Linked DNA regions of Nothobranchius furzeri. The protein of the gene in region 1 purifies or fractionates together with the protein of each later gene. This does not show direct contact. Links are inferred from orthologs where the notes say so. Each region holds a gene or a part of one and is shown on either strand. Other genes may lie near its edges. The genes, in order: RNA-binding protein MEX3B and AP-1 complex subunit beta-1.

Evidence for each region.
Region 2: the proteins of RNA-binding protein MEX3B (region 1) and AP-1 complex subunit beta-1 purify together in Homo sapiens (affinity purification with mass spectrometry; 4 studies listed by BioGRID and IntAct, with this or other methods). This does not show direct contact. The link is inferred for Nothobranchius furzeri from reciprocal best matches to the Homo sapiens genes MEX3C and AP2B1.

What each region holds. Positions count from the first base shown.
Region 1 is NC_091757.1:48,917,982-48,922,477, reverse strand, and holds the start of RNA-binding protein MEX3B, read left to right. Parts: upstream 1-1,605; 5' UTR 1,606-1,769; coding exon 1,770-2,403; intron 2,404-3,790; coding exon 3,791-4,029; intron 4,030-4,192; coding exon 4,193-4,238; intron 4,239-4,496. UniProt on the Homo sapiens protein: E3 ubiquitin ligase responsible for the post-transcriptional regulation of common HLA-A allotypes. Binds to the 3' UTR of HLA-A2 mRNA, and regulates its levels by promoting mRNA decay.
Region 2 is NC_091750.1:66,903,021-66,907,278, reverse strand, and holds the end of AP-1 complex subunit beta-1, read right to left. Parts: coding exon 4,146-4,258; intron 4,054-4,145; coding exon 3,924-4,053; intron 3,095-3,923; coding exon 3,010-3,094; intron 2,837-3,009; coding exon 2,750-2,836; intron 2,323-2,749; coding exon 2,168-2,322; intron 1,184-2,167; coding exon 1,109-1,183; 3' UTR 693-1,108; downstream 1-692. UniProt on the Homo sapiens protein: Component of the adaptor protein complex 2 (AP-2). Adaptor protein complexes function in protein transport via transport vesicles in different membrane traffic pathways.

The DNA.
Region 1 (4,496 bases):
TTTAAGGCAGGAACTCGTTTGTGTTACGCAACAAATGTATGCTGTTATTATACTCGTATATTTTATACATGTGTGACGAATGATGTTAAACTTAATTCAAGCATAAACGACTCTTAAAACATTATTTTTGTCCTCAATTCTGAATTACCGACTCACCCCAAAGTCAACACCCGGATGCAACTAATGCTAGGAAACGTATCATAAACGTGACACCGCATTGGCTGTCCTTCGTGAATAGTCCCGCCTTTAAAAGGCTCCCATTGGTCAGCTACAGACTGTAACGAGTGCTGGGGAGATCACGTGGTCTACGCTCAAAGACGTGAAAGCAGAACTCGGCTTCCTTTTTTAAAACAATTTCCAACGTGGCTGATACAAAGCCAGTTAACTGAATTGCGTTACTCCATGTATTAACTTAAAATTGTTGTACATATTTACATAATATGTTACAAAAAAGTTAGATTCAGACAACAAACAATTTAAAAATACTCATTTTGTATGTGTCGGGGCATTTTGCATATAAAAGAACTTACCTGTTGCTTGGTAAACAGGAAAAAAATGAACAACAATAAAACAATAATTGGTAATTGAAATGAGTCTGTTTTAAGTCTGTTTTGAATGCTTGTACATATTGTAAGTGAGAATGGTCTGTCGTCTTTATGTCTAATTGTTTATCTTATTTTTGTCTTGTATTTTTTTTATCTTATCTGTTTTTCTTTGATGTACAGCTAACTATGTCTCTTCTGCTGCTGCCTCTTGGCCAGATCATCGTCGTAAATGACTGAGTTCTCAATCGACTCATCTGGAAAAATACATGTTAAATAAAATAAAATAAACAAATATGGTTTGCTTTCAAACTTAAGTTGAAATAGACTAGATTTTCTTTGCTAGATTTTCATTTTCTATAAACTTGGGATATGATCCACACCATTGGAACACCATTTCTTGATACACTATGTAAACATTTGATTAAATTATAATATGGTCCAGATGAACACCATCATATGAAATCAGCTACACAAAACTATTTTGTGGCAACATAGCGGATGCAAGAAAGAAAGAACGAAAGAAAGAAAGTAAGTAAGTAAGCAATCTTTTATATAGGAAATCACTTATTTCTAATATTGGCAATCAATGAAAATCATATAAATGACAGCTGGCAGAATGTCAAACAAGTGCTAATCTATTGTCTGTGTTTGCATGTGTGATATGTGATGACCTAAATAAAAAAAAATCTGCAAGAAGAATTTATTATTTTTTTCATAGTTAAGTAGGCTTAACGGGGTTAACTCTTTGTTTTTTTTGTGGATCATCGTGCATCTTATTATATGCCCTTAAATAATTATACATTGTTAATTGCTTTTGATCACTTTTATTTCAATGTTGTTTCTGATGGCTTTTCATAACCTTTCATTCGTTTTTGCTCATGTATTTGTATAATATCTATGATATATATTTACATACAGTAATTTTACCAGATACAAAATAACGAGATTAGATTGTGTGAATTACAAAAAAATATAGACTAATCGTCAAACGCACCACACTCCAGTCGCAGAAACCGATGACCATACTGACCTTAAAACGAAGTCTCGCGTGATCAGGAACGAGATTACAGTGTAGGGGAGGGCTGCATGGAGAGCTGAAAAGACAAAACAAAAGCCACACATTTCAGGCGCTGGTCGCTTATTTTATTTTTTATTAACCGAAACAAATTCCATTCGCGACTCATACCAGTTTCAGTTTAGTTGCCATATTTTGTACATTTTTGCATGATGCCTAGTAGCACATCTTTGCTGGAGGCCGATGAGGGAGAGTCCGAGGTCCCACCGCCGCTAGTGCACGCTTTCGCCGGTATGGGCCTTGAGGAGCACCACTGCACCCAAAGCCAAACCACCGAACAGGCAGACGAGAGTATCTCATTCCCACACCACCATCAGCGCCCGTCGGTTTCTCATTTCAGCCTCCTTGATACGGTCCTCGACTTGAAGCCTTTGCCACTGCATCAGCCACCTTCGGGAGATGAAGCGAACAAAACGAAAGAAGAAGAGCTGGAAGAGGCAGCGGCCGATTCCCCGGGCTGCACCGGGAGTTCGTTGTTGGCGAAGGCCCACCGCCATCCACACCTCCATTCGGGGCCAAGTAGCTCCGTGTTGCCGTCTGCAATGGAGCCTCCGCATACCGATACGGTATTATTGTACAACGGAGAGGAGCGTGACGATGGCGGGGTCGCCGGCAGCGCCTTACCTCCGGCTAGCAGCATGGTGATGCTACCATCCGGCGTTTACGGCGATGCGGGTTACGAGGCCGAGCCTTCGCTTCTGACTCAGCGGAAGAGTATCAACACAACCGAGTGTGTGGCCGTGCCGAGCTCCGAGCACGTCGCCGAAATTGTGGGCAGGCAAGGTGAGCGTTTTTCTAAAAGAAATTAGCTAACTTGTGACCCAACGTCTAGCTTTTAAACGTGCGCGTGGACGGAATTGGGTCAAGTCGGGGTAAGTAAACACAATAAAATCATCACAGGTTCGAAAATTGAAATTCTCCCTTCTATTAAGCACCGTTTGTTTGACAGTTATCTCAATTTTTTGCTGTGAGGGCAGTCAGGAATCCCCTAGCCGTGCCTTGTGCTAAACCAGGGTTGTCTTTGTCTCGCAGTAGCACATAAAGAGCACTGTTGGTCACCATTGCTGTGCCACATCAGCTGGAGCCTCCAGATCAACTCCTTATGGTTAATTTTCTTCTCATTAGGTCAGCCGAACCCGTCCCCTTTAATAGACATCCATATCTGGGCTTTCACACAAAGTTTCCACGGGCTGGATGGAGCAGGGAGAGTGTTGTTATGTAGTGTTTCAGAGCAGTTGGGGGAGGGTGTTGACAACAACAGGAAATGGCTCTGGTAATGATGTTGGACTCTCGACCACTGCTAAAAGGAATATTTAATTCACAACATGACCAACTTGTAAATGGAATAAACGATTGAATGTTTGATTGCACTATGTTTGAAACAAAGAGGCACATTAAACCACCCTGTTGGTTACATGTTGGAAACAAAGAAATGGCAAAGTATACCACTTTTTAAAAAGTTGTCTGGAGGAAAGACAAGAGCAGCAGAAATGAATATAAAGGAGATAAAAAACACCAACAATTCATGAGGTTTTTTAATGCAGGGGCATTTCTGCGCTCGCCTTTTCTCAAATGACCAAAACTCAAGAAAAAAACATAACATTTGAGTTTTTGTAGTTGAAATAAAAAAAATCAAGTTAATTTAATTTTTAAATTTCCACTACTGTCAACCTTTTTTACTCAAAAGACCAAATGAGTTAAAACACACTTGTCAAGTGTTTTTTTTAAATACGGAACTTAAAAAAATATCATTTTGTACTCAAAACGGCATGTGTAGTGAAAAAATGATTCAAAGAGACATCAACTGCATGCTTTGATAATGCTAAAGGTCACACTTTATATTCAAGTGCTGCAATCTAAGATTAAATGCTAGCCAAATGGCTTCTGATCCACTTTATTTCTTCTCCAAACCCTTTATTTGGCCTTTTGACTTGGATAATTTTGGACCGCAGCTGTGTGAAGCTTTGTTTTCAGCACAAACAACAAGCCAATATGCACTTGCACTGTAGTTATGTTGCTTTTGTTTGCAAAATTCAGAGTATGAGTGTCATTAAAAATAGCTGGTCTGGATGAGTCCAACTGGTTATTAATAAATGTCTGTGTCACTAATGTGGCATCAGACATGCTTCAACCTTTTCTTGTTTCTTTTTTGAAATCTTCCCTCCACCAGGCTGTAAGATCAAGGCCCTTCGAGCCAAGACGAACACCTACATAAAGACGCCAGTGAGGGGGGAGCAGCCGGTCTTTGTCGTGACGGGACGTAAAGAAGACGTGGCCATGGCAAAGAGGGAGATCCTTTCTGCGGCTGATCACTTCTCCCTTATCAGAGCGTCTCGAAACAAAACTGGGCCTCTGTCTGCCGTGAACACTTTAGGGACCCCTGCTCTACCCGGACAGACGACTATTCAGGTTGGCAAGCTGCATGAATGAATCATGTTGTTATTCCTGGATGCTCTTTTACAGTGAATCACATTAAGGGCTGTTGTTATGGCAACTGCACAGTTCTACACTGTCATCAAAGCATTTTATTTCAAAAGGAAGGTTTGTGTAAGTGTTATTTCCACCCCAACAGGTGCGGGTGCCTTATCGTGTTGTTGGATTGGTTGTGGGTCCCAAAGGTGAGTCTTTTTGTCTATTTTGAACTGATGATGAGACTTTTGGGGCTGATTTTTACTTTTTTTTTTTTGTTTGTTTTGGGTTTTTTCTCTCCTCATTTTTAGACTTAAAGGTTTTACAAAGATCTGGATGGAGTTAGACAGGAGTTTAGTCTTGAGCTCTTTAGCCATGTGAGTGACCAGAACAGCCGGCAGTTAGAAGATGTAATTATTGCACAGCTGCAGTTCTTTAGTCAGATTTTATTATTGTTGTTCTGTTAC
Region 2 (4,258 bases), on another chromosome or scaffold:
AGCTACTGACACAATCAACATGTGGAGGTAGATGCAAATAAATAGGAATGATAAGTGAATAAAGCCATGAGAAAACAACTACAGTTGCAGTAAACAGGGCGATAAGACAGGGTTTTAAGTAAAATGGAGTGGAATGGGTGTTTCAACACAACAGCTGGCAATCAGTCATATTGGTCACTAGAAGCTGTTTAACTGGGTTCTGCAGATGTTTAGGATTTTCCTTTAGGAATAATCTAATATTTGTCTTTCATTTGCATTTATGTGCTTTTATATGCAATAATGAGTTAAATAACACTTGATGAAAGATGAAAAAAGCTGCAGCTACAACCAGCATGAAGAAGTGATTATTTTTTATGCATGCATCTCCGTTTCAAACGAAACACAAAAAGTAAACACCAAAATCTAAAATTTCACCAGAGTTACTTACAGCTCTTACGTCACTTGTTTTTTAAAAATGTCTGAATGTTTTCATGAATTATTCTTATACCGTTACAGAAAATAAAGGTACTGTTGGCAAATAAATGCAGCACATATTTGGGTAAATCTACTAAACATGCTGTGGGTTTAAATCATGACAGGGAATAAAAAAAACAGCGGTAGCTTCAGTTTGCAGACATCCTCACACAATAATGGCAAAAGGGAACACTGGCGTCTTTGTGGAGGTTCGGCTGAAGTAAAGCCAGTTTAAAAAATAAACTTTTAAAATAAAACAGATCACAAAACAAAGAAAATGGCTTCATTAACTGAAACTGTTTCGACATCACTCACAACATTAAGATACCTAGTTAAGAATGGAATGTTAGCAAGGTTTCACAGAGAAGTAAACACAAATAAGGAGTGTAATCAAAGCGATGGAGACTGTTTTTAACTGCCAGAAAAAGGGATAAAACTGTTTCAACTACAAATCACTTCCAATCAAACTGTATTGACTGATTTTTACCCTACAAGTATCTTGGGGGGTGTACATCAAATATTTTTGATCATTTATTATCTGCTTGGATTTTTTATTTATTTATTTTTTTTTTTTGCTGTGGCAATCAGCTGCAGATAAGAGAAAATGAAGAAACACTGAAGGTTGTTGCCAGGGTGAAGGAGAGTCTCGGTCAGGTCAGTTCTTCAGTATGGAGTCGTACATCTGGTAGACATACTGAGACACCTCAGGGGCCCGACACTTAAGGGACAGCTGTAAAAACAGAACAGGTGCTGTGTTTTATAAAAAAACCTCCACACACGTTTAAAAGGTTTTATTACTGGTAAAAATTATTGGTTTGTTTCTAATTTTATAAAACAAAAGCTGCAATATGGAGTATTCCTAGTTCAGGAATTATGTAAGATTTTTTAGAAATCCGTAAAGGCAATATGTTAGTTTTTGCTAAGCCCACTCCCCCGTCCCGTAGAGCTCCAAGCAATATGAACTGAGCTCCAGTCAGCATTAACCAACAGCCCTGGGCTACCACTTGCGTACAGACACAGAACGTGCTTGTGCGTTTGAGGACCTACTTTGGCTGACGCAGAGTTGGCTACCTTTCTCATGTACAAGTAAGTCTTTAAACTATAAATATATTAATGCACAACATGATATGAGCATAATAATAGCAAAACAATGTTTTCTAGCTGTTTGGTCAGCTTGAGGAGTGCATTTATGAACGAAAAGCGTTGCTTTTGGCCGTGAACAAGGAAGTAAAAACATGAATTAGTGCAATTCATTTGTCAGCCACTAGATGGTGCCATAAAAAAAAGAATAATCCGAAGTTCTCCTTTAAATGATCATAAAGGAAACTATTACTACATTCCAATGATCATATATCTGAGCTGTTTTCTGAATCTGTTCAAAAAGGTTTGTGAATAGCGGGTCTGACCACACAAGTAGACATTTATCTGTTGTAAGAAATTTAATGTTTTTCTTTTAGTAAGATTTACTTTGAGCTCTTTAAAGGGGATTGTTAATTGCAGCATTTAAAAAGCACACTTACTCAATACACACTATGAACACTTAAAATCTACCAGCCTTCAGATGTTTTCTTAAGAGTTTCAGAATCTGTTTTACAAGTGACGAGAGAAGTTTAGCAATATGATCATTTGGGTTAGCATCAACATCCTCAGTGCAGGTGGATTACGAACAAAAATACCCAGAATTCAACACAGCGTGACCTTTTCTACAACCCACCGTGTAATTGGGATTCCCAGGCTGAATGCGGAGCTCAGCCAAGATCCAGATGCCGTTGGTTAGCTTCAGGGACTGGTAGAGCATGTCCTGGCCTTCTACGTTTCTTTTAGCGATGGTGTAGATGTTGTTATTCTGCAGCTTCCCTGATACTGTGTCTGCAAGGCCAGAATCAACACCACTCCATGTTAGGAAAACGCCTCTTTGTATGACACTATGTTACAGGGAGGCAGTAATCGCTACAGCTACCAACGCTAACATGTAGATGAATGATAACAATCCTACTGCTAAAGACGCAGCTACGTCTATGTCAGGGTTTTAATAAACTCTGATTAGAACCTTCAGATTTCAGTAAAGTTTTTCAGCAGTGGCTCAGGGTTGCACAGATCAGCTGCAGGGAAAAATTTAGGGAAAGAATGTGAAGAAAGGTTAGTTACAAGCAAAAAGAAATAGAGGAATCCAAAGAGGCATGTGAGAACACACAAGAAGAGGTCATCTCTTTGATGGAGCTGGTAGAAGATGTGACAAATCAGGCATCAAAACCAGAGACAGCGACCGGGTGGAGGTTCTGAAGAAGTTGCCCACCTGCGTTTAGGTGACATTCTTTTATCTGGTACTGAAGCTCGTTCTCATTGGGGATGTCCTTCCAGGTAGCCAAGAACACCTGTCGCTCTGCAGAATTCGTAAACATAAACATTATTGGAATTTGGTTTTTAACATGACAAAAACTATGAATATAACTGATCTTCACAATTAGGCAATGAGATTCTTGTAATATAAAAAAAGACATTTACTACTAGACTGATATTTATTGTTGCTTCTGAATGTTCTGTTATCTAACATACCCATTTTTCCATCCTCAACGAAGAATATGTTGAGAGGGATGAGAACGCTGAAGTAGAACACGTCAATGTTGTTCTTCACTGCCACCTGTTCACAGAAAGGGCAGAAGCAGGTATTTAGACAGCACCAGACTGTTTTACAGTTTTAATGAAACCATAATAAAAGACAGCAGTGAAGAATCAAAGCTACTCTCTCACTAAACGCTGACATAGAACATATGATCAAAGTTGGCTCACATTTCTGTTACTTCCTGACCGAGGAGAGTTCCAAACACTCGTGATGATCCGGATTATTTTGAGAAATCACATTTCACCAGCAAGCACCATCTTACATTGGGGATCTTCTTAGTCCCTACACCCCCAGCAGGTCCCTGAGGTCCAGTGATCAAAGCCTACTGGTTGTGCAGCACCAGGCTAAAGACCAAAGGTGACAGATCTTTTGCTGCTGTGGCCCCCAGACTCTGGAACTCTCTCCCTTCTGAGCCTGAGATCAGTGGACTCAGTGGTCTCCTTTAAAAAGCAGCTGAAAACTAACCTGTTCAGGCTGGATTTGTGTGACCTGTTAATTCTTCATCACTACCTTCTCATTCAGGTCTTTTTACCAATTCTGCCTTTACTGGTTTCCATGGATGACCTTTCTTGTTATTTGTCGTCTCTTTCCCTTTCCTCACATTTTTTTTTATCTCAAATTTTCTTTCACTTTTCTCATTTTTTTAATCTTTTGTATTTTTTTAAGTACCTCGTGATTTTTATCTTGAGGCTCTCTAAAAGATTGTTTCTTCTTCAAAATTTGTGAGTATTTTCAGAGTCACACAATCATTGGCTCATAAGAGGAGACTGAGAACACTCAAAACGTTTTGAAGCCCTCACAAAAAAAAAAAAAACGCTTACTGCTCAGTTAGCTCTTGGTTCTGTACCTGTAGATTATTGAGAGGATCCATCTTCATTACAGGTCCGATGGTGTTCAGAGGAAGAGAGGCGTCGATACTTTGATTGGGCATCAGCGGAGTGTGAATAGGAAGAGGGCTGGTGGGGATCATCCCAAAACTACAGGAAAGAAATAAACCAAATGAGTGTGTCTCCAGCTGTGAGTTTCTGACTGAAATCAGAGCAGCAGGTAGGATTTTTTTGTCATTAACCTATTCTTGTTGAACTGGATTGCAAAATCATTCATGTGCTGCAGAGCCTTGTTGGTGAAAGACATGTCCATGTACATGTGTCCCTGACGACGAGAGAAGGTTCCGGAGATCTC